Caenorhabditis elegans: one gene and its partners. The protein of the gene in region 3 interacts with the protein of the main gene of each other region in a pairwise test. Each region holds a gene or a part of one and is shown on either strand. Other genes may lie near its edges. The genes, in order: rpl-24, cdc-25.3 and ttx-1.

What was found.
Region 1: the proteins of ttx-1 (region 3) and rpl-24 interact in a two-hybrid assay, tested with the Caenorhabditis elegans proteins (one study listed by BioGRID).
Region 2: the proteins of ttx-1 (region 3) and cdc-25.3 interact in a two-hybrid assay, tested with the Caenorhabditis elegans proteins (2 studies listed by BioGRID).

What each region holds. Positions count from the first base shown.
Region 1 is NC_003279.8:4,583,085-4,586,739, reverse strand, and holds rpl-24 (Large ribosomal subunit protein eL24), read right to left. Parts: upstream 1,626-3,655; 5' UTR 1,600-1,625; coding exon 1,519-1,599; intron 1,492-1,518; exon of another isoform or gene 1,331-1,491; intron 1,298-1,330; coding exon 1,196-1,297; intron 1,151-1,195; coding exon 941-1,150; intron 867-940; exon of another isoform or gene 757-866; intron 689-756; coding exon 602-688; 3' UTR 564-601; downstream 1-563. Other genes in the region: D1007.10 (Gustatory receptor), read right to left, coding at 1-165, 216-466; rps-10 (Plectin/eS10 N-terminal domain-containing protein), read left to right, coding at 2,249-2,392, 2,445-2,631, 2,680-2,798; tmem-39 (uncharacterized protein), read left to right, coding at 2,936-3,181, 3,232-3,315, 3,367-3,551.
Region 2 is NC_003281.10:8,915,839-8,919,933, reverse strand, and holds cdc-25.3 (M-phase inducer phosphatase cdc-25.3), read left to right. Parts: upstream 1-2,004; 5' UTR 2,005-2,038; coding exon 2,039-2,139; intron 2,140-2,186; coding exon 2,187-2,556; intron 2,557-2,950; coding exon 2,951-3,430; 3' UTR 3,431-3,580; downstream 3,581-4,095. Other genes in the region: trxr-2 (putative glutathione reductase 2), read right to left, coding at 3,581-3,729.
Region 3 is NC_003283.11:20,061,027-20,065,784, reverse strand, and holds the start of ttx-1 (Homeobox protein ttx-1), read left to right. Parts: upstream 1-1,608; 5' UTR 1,609-1,610; coding exon 1,611-1,658; intron 1,659-4,364; coding exon of another isoform or gene 4,365-4,368; intron 4,369-4,758. UniProt on the Caenorhabditis elegans protein: Probable transcription factor. Binds to a motif including the sequence 5'-TAA[TG]-3' in regulatory promoter elements.

The DNA of each region.
Region 1 (3,655 bases), on a different chromosome or scaffold from region 3:
ACTGACAATCTTTTAATGAGATTTCCCATTCTTCGAATCACCAGAAACCAGATCACTGTTAAACAGAATACCATAAAGCATGCACACATCACAAATCGTTTCACGAGAAGAGCTTCATCGATCACGTGCAGAAAAGGAACTTGTTCGCTTAGAAATCGAGTGAGACTGAATTTTTGAAACCATATTATCCTTTTTAATAAGTCCAGAAAACTAACTATCTTTTGCTGAAAAATGTAGTGAATTTTGCTTTCAAAATATCAAGATCTAAAGAGTCGTTTCGAACTAAAAGCCCACGATTCCTATTGCTGACGGTGACATCACATAGTTCATCGGAGTTGATGATCCCCTCGAGAGAATCCGAATTTAAATTCCTTATGTCTATCGGAATTTCTTCAATCAGTCGGTACATATAAATGGCGAACCCAACAGTAAGAACACTGTACTGGGCTATTCGAAGAGTCCTCATTCTAAACAAACTCAAATGAACAGATTCGGATAGTTCTGTTAAAATAATAATTTGAGAATACTTTTCTTGTTGGATGTCTTGCATTAAAACTTTAACGGTCAACAAAATTTATTACAATAACGGGACCGAGAACGTTTATCGCTTTCCTCCGACACGTGGAGCAGCAGTCTTCACATTCTTGGCGGTCTTTTGCTGGGTCTTTGGCTGAGAGGCCTTCTTTTCCTGAAAACCAATGATAAAGAATTGACAAAATTAACTTGTTTTTAAATTTCATGCATATGGTAAATTGTCGGACTTCACACGAGACATGCTTATTGATATTACAGCTTCAAATAACTTGAAGCAATAATACCAACACATGGCAATTGTGCCCGTCCTTTGCTTTTGCAATACTTCAACACTCGTAAAATCACATATACCTTACAAGCTCTAACAGCATGCTAAAGTTTATAATAAATATTGTAGAAAGTTTACCTTGTTGGCAGCAGCCTTGGCGGCACGGACAGCCTTGTTGGCATCCTTGGCGATCTTAGCGGCTTGTTCACGCTGTTGGCGACGGAAGTCTTCGGTCTGGTTTCTCTTGGCAAGGATAGCATCAAGGGAAAGTCCAGCGACGGCGCGGTTAACAACCTGGACGGACTTCTTGGTCTTCTTTCTGGTGACTTGCTCTTGTCCGTGGGTTCCCTGTAAAATTACCAATTTTCAACTGCGTTTAAGGATCTCAAGTACCTTCTTGTTCTTGATTCTGTAGAGGACAGTCCATCTGATGTCACGTGGGTTACGGCGAAGCTTGGCTCCCTTGAGTGCCTTTCCACTGAGGAAGATTTGGACCTGAAATTTGAATAAATAAATCATGAAACGGTAGTTTGTCGCACTCAACACGTGGCATGCTTAACGATGGTATAACTTCTAAAAACTAGAAGATATAGCACCAACACATACATAAGGTGATTATGCTTTACTTTTGCAATACTTCAACACTCGTAAAATTACAATATACCTTACGAGCTCTAACAGCATGCTAACGCCTTTCAAAGAGAAACTGAACTCACCTTTCCGTCAGTACGGACAAGTCTCTTTCCGTGTCCTGGGTGGATCTTGTATCCGGAGTAAACGCAGGTTTCGACCTTCATTGTTGATAGGCCCTCGCTTGACGAATCTGAATTTCAACATTTTTGAGATAAATTTAGGATAAAGTAAAATCAACGACAATTATCAAGGATCTGTTTGTAGCTTATAAAAATAACGAATTTAATTTCCAATAATCAATTATTCCCAAAATTAAAACATTCGTGAACAAGGAGTTGGGATAGGCCTCGAAAAAAAAACGAAAAAATTCTTTCCTCTCTTCAAAACTCCTCTAATGCAAAAGATAGGGGCGCTACGCAGCAAGAGTACGGTAACACTCGTTTCGGCTGTGCGAATTTAACCAAAATCACTTGTTTCTCTGTGTCGCTGCGTGTGTGCCCCTATGTAATGCATTAGTCGGAAGAATTTCGTTGTACCTCTTTTCTTTCAATTTTTTTTTCCAAAATCCCGTTTCTTTGAAAATTTAGTGACTTATTGTGTTAAAAAAGTGAAAATTTATACTCTAATAAGCAATCAATCCTGAATTTCCAGGTGGAATTCTGTTGAGTCCCAAAAATAATGCATCTCAATCGATTTTTCTTGTTTCTGCCCTACTTTTGAAGATTCCTCCAATCGCCAAAAAATCTCTTCCTATTTCGTAAAAAATTGTGCATTGTTATAAATTGTGTATTTGTTTCAGAACTTGCGGTCATCATGTTCATCCCGAAAAGCCACACCAAGCTCATCTATGAGTACCTCTTCAACGAGGGAGTGACTGTCGCCAAGAAAGACTTCAATGCCAAGACTCACCCAAACATCGAGGGAGTTTCCAACCTTGAGGTCATCAAGACTTTGAAGGTGAGTTATTTTTCCCATAATTAAAAAAATCAATAATCTATTGTGATTACAGTCTCTTGCCTCCCGCGAGTTGGTTAAGGAGCAATTTGCCTGGCGCCACTACTACTGGTACTTGACCGACGCCGGAATCTTGTACCTCCGTGAGTACCTCGCTCTTCCAGCTGAGATCGTCCCAGCCACCATCAAGACCAAGCCAAGAGAGATCCGTGTCCCACACGAGGATAGAGCCCCACGCGCCGGTAAGTTTTGTCCTACAAGTACTTTTATTGATTGCTGAAAATATTCAGCTCAAGGCGAGAAGGGAGACCGTGAAGCCTACAGAACCGAGAAGGTCACCGAGGCTGGACCAGGAGGAGCCCCAGTCTACAGAGCCGGATTCGGCCGTGGAGCCCCACCACCACAATAAATGTTATTGTTTTTCTAATGAAATTGTTACATCAAAAGTTGAATTAATACAATAAACAAAACGGTGAATTTTCCATCAACAAGTACATTGTCACTCTGCCTAGAATCGTAATACATTTTGTGGAATTTAAGTAAGATATGCCGCCTCGAAGACGAGTGCCGGCACCTCCACCACAAGCTCCTTCCGTGCCAGCTTCAATCCCAAGAGCGAGTGGTGTAACGCTTTCCGTCCATCCTATATGGCCGGATATTCAGTTCACACAAGGAGAGCTATTTTTCGAATGCACTTTGTTTTTATATTCAGTATTGGCTTTATTTTTACAATATCTGAATATATACAAAACTCTTTGGTGGCTTCCGAAGTCGTATTGGCATTATTCACTTGTAAGTGTGAAAAAGGATAACAGGAAATTCAATATGTCCATTATTTTCAGAAATTCCATCTCATAAATCCATATTTCCTGTCATGTGTTGGCCTTTTACTTGGCTGGAGGGTAACCGTCTGTTTCTGGAAAACGGTAATGCCTTACATTTATTAAAATAGAAATCAATAATAAAGAATTGTGCAGATAACTGAAGTGATCGCCACAATATCCGCCAACCAGTCGCAGTTTATTCAGTCGAGCCTGATGATTGTAGAATATGCAGCAATTAAAACACCAGTGATGACACTGATCATTACGAGCTTCCTTTTCAGTTTTAATCGAGTCTGTCACGATTTTCCGAGTAGATCTGTGCTTTGGTTTTTATTTCCGTAAGTTGTCGGATTTTTGCAAATACACAGTCAAATTGACCTATTGCGCCATCTTGTTTCAGCATTTTTTATTAGAAATTAGTGTCAAAGTATAGAAAATCACT
Region 2 (4,095 bases), on a different chromosome or scaffold from region 3:
CAAAAAGTGATAATGTCTGGAATATTTGGGTCTGAAGAAAGACTTTTAAAGCTTTTAAAAACTTAGAATATTCTAGAAACTTTTTGGAAAAGGCCGATTTTCTTGTTCGTTTTGAGAGAATTTACAAAAAATATAAAAATTTCCAAAAAAATATAATGATTAATTTTCAGTAATAAATGTCAAAATATTTTGATTTTTGAGTTTCCATCCTCACACAACCCCAATTTACTATTTTCTCCACTTCGTCTGCCACTCGAAAACTACTGCCATTATTGTTGTTTATCAATTTACAGACCGTCAAAGTCGCAAAAACAAGAACTAAGGATTATTCATGGAAAATCCCAATGATTATTCGCAATAACATTCAAATATGCACTGCACAACGGGATCCCGATTTGGCAGAGTGCCAAAATCCAGAATAACCACTGCCAGTTTTTGATTCGCAGGTGGTTGGTAATGGGCTCGCATCTTCTGAATTAATAAAAGAAGAAAGACTGAAAAGAAAGAGAGTATACCCACAATGAGACGAGTGTGGAGATGGGAGAAAATATGAGAAGACTACACTACACCTTAGACATCTTAAATCTATATCTGGATGAGAATGTACAGAGCTGTATACCGGAAAAGAGTTAGTTGTAAATGTGGGAAAATTGTAAAAGTGTTCTCTAATCTTCAAAATCATTGTTGCTCTATTGATTTTTTTGTTCTGTAGGTAGTTTGAATAAATCTTATTTTCAATTGTATTAAACAGTGATTCGAAATTCAAATGACTCGAAGAATAATATAAAAACTGTTTTAGAAGTAGAGTAGCGACAGTTGGAAAATAGTTTTCAAAAAAGAAGCACCCCTTTACATGGGCCAAATGGTGCCTGAACCATCCAAATAAAACTTTACAAAATATTAATGAGACAGTGAAAAATGGAAATTTTGCTGGATTACCCGCATATTTGACATTAATTTCTAAGAACCTTAGGTTCCGTTATCCCAGTAGGAACACTGTAGAATACTGTAGCCAAATATGAAATACCCTAAACTAGTATCACTACTGTTATTTTAATAGTTTGTCGCGTATAATTTGACAACAGAAGATTTAAGTTTCTCAAAAAATAACTCGGCATTTTGATTTTTGTCAATTTATCAAGTCGACATTGATTGAAAAATACTAATTGAAAGTTTGACTATTCGTTTTTATGAAAGTGTATTTTGTACAATAAACGTAGAAAGCTGTTGGAAGAACGAACACCTTGTTGAAGTGATTTTGATTTTAAAAGTTTATCAAAAATTTAGGAGCTTTCAATAGTTTCATAGAATGTATTTTTCACCAAAGGAATGGTTATAAAAAATTTCACTCTTGAAATACCAATGGTTCTTTCTGATCTAGATATGTTAAGAGTCAGTCAAGAACCTGGAAGCCGGTTTCGTTTCCTTTTATAGGTGGAAATTTTCTTTTTCCAATTTTTTCTTTTCCAATTTTTTAAAAATTATTATGGTATCCATCAAATTAATGATTTTCAATTGTTTTGCCCACAAGCCATATTCTACACCTTATACCAAAAATTTTATTTAAAATTGTTCAAAGTTAAATACAATTAGAGACAATTCTCACCGTTTCTTCCCAGAATCAAAACTTCCCAGTCGAATCTACTCATATTCTCTTTGTCTAATTCCCGCTCTAAAGGTGAAAACAATCGTAGGTCAAATTCTCACTCCCGGAAATAGGTGCACATCGCCACACTAACACGACACCTTGGCACACAATTGCGAGATCAATTGTCTTCCCAGGAGAACGGCCCGCCCCATTTTATATAGGTTATATCGATCTCGAGGGGGACCATATAAAAGGGGAGGGTCCATGATCATTGCGCGCTAAAATAATGTTTTATTTTATTGAGTGTTCATTAGGGTTTTCTACTGATCCCATTCCAATTCATATTAAACTAGACTAGTCAGTCTCTCTTTTTTCATTTAGTCTTCAAATCCATTCTATTGCATTCTTTCATTCAGGTATACCTAGTTCAGTCTAGCTCCAAGTCTCCTGATGTGCGTTGACGTTCCATGTGAAAACTGCATTGTTCGCAATGACGGGCTCCGGCTGAAATGTTCTGAATGTGCTGAAGGATCCTCGAAGCTATTCCCAAGGTTAGTTGATTATTTGTGTTCGATATCAATAAATCCATAATTTACAGACAAAACCGTCAACACTCTTCTGCGATCAGCCACATCTCCAACTCATCGCCACCCACTCGGAAACGAAGCATTGATGGAGGATATACATCTGGAACGGATTCTGCGAATACTTCTGAAATTGTGATAAAGAAAAGACTAACTTTCTCAAAAAAGAGCCATTCAACTTCGGAAATTGAGACATGGAATGCCCATCTTCAAGTGGATTATCATTTGGAAACCGTGACGCCTAGCTGTTCTACCGTATACCAAAAAATCACTTCTGAAACGTTAATTGAAATCATGCAGAAGCTATCGCAAATTGAGTTTATGCAGAAATATATTCTAATTGATTGCCGATATGATTATGAATATAATGGAGGGCATATTAAGGTTAGTTTTTGCCGTTTGTACTACGTTTCCAGACTCCAAAGTCTTAGTGTGTACCTTTAAGTTTACAGTAACCCTCGTAATTTATATTCTCTCTTCGTGTCCGTGTATCATTTTAGTTTTTCAATAAATAGACTCTTTCGAGAGAAAATGCCATATGAGAATGGGATACTGTACTTCTTAAAACTCGTACTTAAAGAATCATGAGTCCGTTCTAATGGGTTCTGTCAAAAACAGAAAACACATTTAATTTTAGAATTAATAAAAAATCTACTTTCCTTCGTGGCAAGACCCTTCCAAACCAAATCATGCGCCTTTAAGTGTGCGTTTCAGAAAAAAGAATTATAATAACTGTTTTGAAAAAATACCAGAAAGTTAAAACTGCAAATCTTTTCAGGGAGCTCAAAGCCTGTTCAATCCAGAAACTGCTGCAGACTTCTTCTTCAACAAAGATGGTTCCAAGAAAATCAACCGGATACCCATTTTCTACTGTGAATACAGTCAAAAACGTGGACCAACCATGGCGAACAACCTTCGGGAAGTGGACAGAAAACTGAATTCAAATATCTATCCGAGATGTGATTATGAGGAGATTTATTTGTTGGAAGGAGGTTATAAAAACTTTTACGCTTTCACGCGGGGATTAGAGAAGGAACAAAGAGTACAACTCTGTGAGCCAGATAATTATGTAATCATGTTTGATGATCGTTATAAGGCTGAGCTTCGGAAGCACCAGTTCCATAAGAAGAATGTTTCGAAGCCAATGAAGAAATGGAGTTCAACAACATCTGTGATATCTATTCTAACAACTTCTGGAACTCGTATTTCGACACTTCGTCAGACATGTGATCCCATCCATGAGCACGATGCGCATTAAGAATATGTAGTTCCCGGTATCTTTTAAAAAGGATAATCAAATATTTTGTACTATTTATTATGTTTAATTATAATTACTAGTATCCAGGATAATAGGATGTAAATTAACTTTGATAAATAAACTGAATGATTTGTCAATAAACTTTTTGAATTATCCACAGCATCCCTGAGTTCTTGGGTCTTGTCCAGATCGTTTTGTAATGTGAAGCTTCACGAACTCTTCAGAAGAACATGGATGAATGGCAATTGTGTTTTGAAGATCAGACATTGAAATTCCAACACGGAATGCTACTGCGTAGCCTGAAATAATTTAGTGCAATCGGTTAGCTTTTAAAGTTTTCGTATCTTGATCGATTATCGAGGTTGTTAGTATTACCTACCCGCAGAATATTGTGAGTTGATTGCCAAAAGTACGGTACCTGAACTTGACACGATAAAATTTTTTCGCGCCTGTAAAGAATACTGTAGTTTCAGACTCTCGATTCTGCAGAAATTTTGTAGATTTTTAAAGCTTTTTGATAAAAATTTATTAATTGTCTCAAGTTGTGATTAAATCTTTAAAAAATCGATAAAAATTCTACAGCAGCGAAAGTTTAAATTTTCAGTATTATTTAAAGGTGCACACTTTCTTTGCATTAAAAATTGTCGTATCAAGCCGTATTTTTG
Region 3 (4,758 bases):
ACCCATGTTAGAACATCTTTGTGGTGCTTTTAGAAAAATTGAAAAAATAAGTTTCAAAAATGTTTTTCTCAAAAAAATTTGTTTTTGAAATTTTAACTGATTTTCAAATGCTCATAACTTAGTACACATTGACCCGATAATTATAAAAAATAGATTTTTGTTTAGTTCATGAAAAGTTGTTTAAGATAACGTTAATTTCGAACAACTTGAAAAATAACAAAATAAAAATCACAAGGTTTCAAAAAGTGATACTCGAAAAAAAAATTTTTTTTTTAGTTTTCAAATTTTTTTCTTCAAATAACCAAAATTCAAATTTCCTTCTAGTTTATCAAAAGTTTTCTATCACTATTTTAACACCTACTAAACCCCTTCACTGTTAACACCATAATCACCGTATCCTCTCGTTTCCGGTCTATTTACCCATAACACATGCCTCCCCCCCCCCCCCCCCACCCGCATCGGCACTCGTTTGCAGGGTCCTTTTAAGTGACAGCCGACATATAGAGACTATATACCGCAAAAAGATGGGGAGGAAAGTTTGACAAGTGTATTAACACTTTTCAAGGAGAAAACGGACATCGGTTGGTCAGTCGAGAGTCAATAAAGGATTACCACTTGCTAGGGGTGGAGGGGTACTAGTTTAAAGGCGCATAACTTGGTTTGTTGTGGAGTTGTGAAATGGAATTTATTGTTTTTGGATAGCTGAAAAAATTTGCTACAAGATTGATGTTATAAGTTTTTTGATAGAATTTAGTTGAAAACCTGAAAAATCAAATTGAAAAATAAAAAAAAAAAATTCAAAATTATTATGTTATTTTAAACTGTCATAACATAGTTTGTTGGGATGCTAAAATTTTTCGCTAAACACCTATAATTTGTGAACATGTATAAATTAAACTGAGATCTGGAAAAAATGTATTTTGAAAATATTTTCCAAAAAAATTTTTTTTCCAAAAATTTTTTTTGTTCAATTTTTTAGAATAGATTCTTTTCATGAGCACCCTACAAAGTAATAATTTTTGTTTTGTAGTAGCTGAGACAATTTTTAACAATACTGGTATAACTATGATGTGTTAAAATTAATTTGAAAATTTGAAAATCGCAGTTTAAAAAATTTGAAATTTTGACAATTTTTGAAAAATGGTAAAAAATTCATATCAAATTTTTACTACGTTAAAAATTCTCAAAATTTGAATTTCCAGGTGCTAAAATATTCGAAATATTTGATTTATGCTTCGAAATTTTTTTCAGATTTTTTTTCAGATTCTCAGAATTTTCAGAATTTCCAGACCGCCGCGTTCCCTGAAAAAATATGTCGAAAAATTTCCCAATATTCACAAATTAATTTCCATTATTATTATGATGCATATTAATATTAACATATATATATATATATATATATATATATATATATATATATATATATATATATATATATATATATATATATATATATATATACCTACGTAGGTATAAGATAATCTCTACAGCTCATCCCAGGATCCCCGGGGGGTACTGTAGTAGCTCCATTAGACTGATTGGAAAATGGATCAGAAGCCGCCCCGAAAATCCCTGAAATCCGTATTTCATTTGTCATATATTCCTGCTTCATGTCCTTGACGTCTTCCTCAGCTCCATCCGACTCTATTGTTGAATTGGTAGGTCCGAAAAATAATTTCCAAAAAAAATTTTTTTTCTTAAAAGTTTTAAAGCATTTTTTTCTGCGATTCCTTTAAAGTCCCATTAAATTTTTTTGTGTAGCTTGTAGCCTATGAAGCTTATTAACCATTAAGCCTTTAGCTTAGGATTTCAGATTTCAGATTTCAGATTTCAGATCTCAGATGGTATTTTAGGAGGATAACCCGTTAAAAACCGTTTAGAGGGGCTTGAAGCCGGTTTTTTAGGCAAAACAGCTTGAAAACAATATTAAGCAGTTAAAATAATTTTAATTGAAAATTTAGACAAAAATTCAATGCAAATTTTCGAAAAAAAAAATTTTATTCAAAATTTTTTTTTTTTTTTCAAAAATTTCCAAACTGCTATTTAACTATATACATACCTAAAAACATTTCGAATTGTGCTTTTAGACCTTTAAATTCCCTTGAATTCAAACAATTTGAGTGGCCAGTTACTGTAGTTTAGGCTCCGCCCCTCACCGGGGGCGCCAATGTAAAACCTTCGTAACTTTGCTGAAAATGGACCGTTGAAGCCAGTTTCAATTTTGTTATAAAGCTCAAAAAATGAGCAATTTGAGCAGTATGTATAACGTTCAAAGATTTGTCACCAAAAAAAGTTTTCAAAATGTTTTTTTCAAAACTTTTTTTGAGTTTTTCATAAACTTTGACTAGCCATAACTTTGCTTGAAATGTACATAAAAAGCTTATTTGTAGTAAAATTTAAAGCCCAGATCTGTGAAAAACAAGCACTAGTAAGTATTGTAAACTGCAAAAAAAATCTAAAAACTTTGAAAATTTCAAATTTTCTGATTAAAAAAATTTTTTACCGAATTTTTTCTTTAATTTTCAAGCTATCATAACTTGGTTTAAAATTGTCTCATTTTCGAGGTTTAAGCCACATCCAAAAGAAAAATATATTGACTATAAAAGCAGCTAACGTCACATTGTTTTGGGCAAAAATTCCCGCATTTTTTGTAGATCAAACCGCAATGGGACACTTTATAGATCTGCTCAAAATTAATATACTACCAAGTTACCATATATACTTGAGTCGCCTATTTTCAAGCTTTTAGGTTAGTATAATTTTATTTTGTGAACTGTGCACAATTTTACGCCAACTGTAAAAATTCTAGGTAGGTTAAAAAAAATTCCAAAAAAATTTAGTTTCCCAAAAAAAATTTTTCCTCCAACAAGCAAAAAGCGAAACAGATTCCATTGCTTAACCCAAACTAAATCAATTGTTTTGTTTGATGAGAAAGGTACACACACACGGGAGATTACGGTAGCCAGTACCACACCACAGTCCCAAAATTGGAGGCAAACAGTAGCGCTCATCACGATGTGCTCGCGGAGCAGCGTCACGGATGCGTTGAAATAACAAGACACGCTCCGGTTGATTATATATCAAAAATTACGGTTGCGGGAGATTTGGGGGAAAAATTTTTTTTGCGTTTTTTTGGGGGCCAAAAAAAAAATTTTTTCATAAATATTTCCTCTAAAATGTCTAAATTTCAACTGCATAGTGAATTTTTTTGAAAAACATTGCCTAAATAACACAGTAATAAGCTTTCAAATAGTATAATTAAAGTTAAAATTGACCAAATTTGAAAAAAGTTATGAAGGTTTAAAAATAAAGCTAAAATTAAAAAAAAATTCAACTGAGAGTTTCTAAAACCAAAAAAAAAAAGTTTTCGGTATGTGTATATGGTTTTTAATAGAATTGTTTAAATAATACTTAAAAAGCACAAAAATTAATATTAAAAAGATGAACAAAATTCAAAGTCGGTTGATTTTGAAGAAAGTTATGAAGATTTGAATTTGGGGTTGAAAATTTCAATTTTTTGGAAAATTAAAAAATTAAACAATTGATGTCGAACTTTCAAGATTTTTGCTCAGTTTTTTAACATATATAATTAAAAATTCTATAAGTACGTAAAATAAACATTTAAACAATTCTAGACTTATAAAAATAGATCAATTTAGAAAAAAGTTATGATGGCCTGAAATTTTTTAAAAATGTTTGAAAATTTTTTTATGTCCTTTTCCAAGAATTTCAAAATGCACACAATTTTTTAAAGTGCACAGGATAAGCATAAATAGATCAAAAAAAAATTTCCAAAAAAAAGTTGTTTTTTTGTTGGAAATAATTTCACACTTTCTAACTAAATTTCTTAAAAATAGGGTCAGTGCACAATTAAAACCTACAGTTTCCTTTTAAAAAAATCAATAAAGCAATTAATAAGGCCCCCCCCCCACCCACACCAATTCAAAACTGCAGGGGTGGGCTCCTCCCCCCGCCCGCCGCCGTGTCCCCAACATTGGCCCGAAAAGTGGGCGGAGCCAAACGTGGTACGGTCACAAAGCGTAGAAAGCATGGAAAACAAAGAGAGCGGCGAGAAAAATGGGCGGTTTATTTGGAATGGATTGGCGTTGGCCGAGAAAATCGCATTTTGATGCCCCGTGAGGAGGGATGAGCCCTTCTTTTGGGTGCCCCAGGTATCCCCCCCCCCCACCGGGTTCGAGTGTTTAATACCCTAAGATTTAAGGACATAATCCTAAAAAGCGGATTTTAGCAGCTTTTTCGGGGGGTCCCCTCCCTCCCCCCACCCCATCACCCCGCATACTTACTTGTGCATTTGTTATCACCTGATTCTTTTTTGTATTGGTAACTGCTGCGTAAGTGATACAATGGGTAAGTATGCGGGATAAATTTTAATTTCTTATGTTAGATTTAAATTGAAAATCTTTCCTTCAAAATTTGACATTTCGGTTCGAAAAAGTTTTTAAAAAAATAAAAATAAAAAACAACAAAAAAAATTTGCTGGTTATTCTCATACTTTGAGCACTGATAACTTTACTTAAGCCTGATATTTTCTGCTAATTTTTTAATTTTTTGAGTAGATCACATATTGGGCTTTCGATAACATATAAATTTAAATACAAACCTTTCAAAACTATCAGGAAAATTGACTTTTAAAATTGCAACTTTTTTTCAAAATTTTTTTTGTTGTTGGTTGTTCTTCAACTTTGAGCACTGATAACATTACTTGGAACCAATTTTTTTTGCAATTTTTTAATTTTT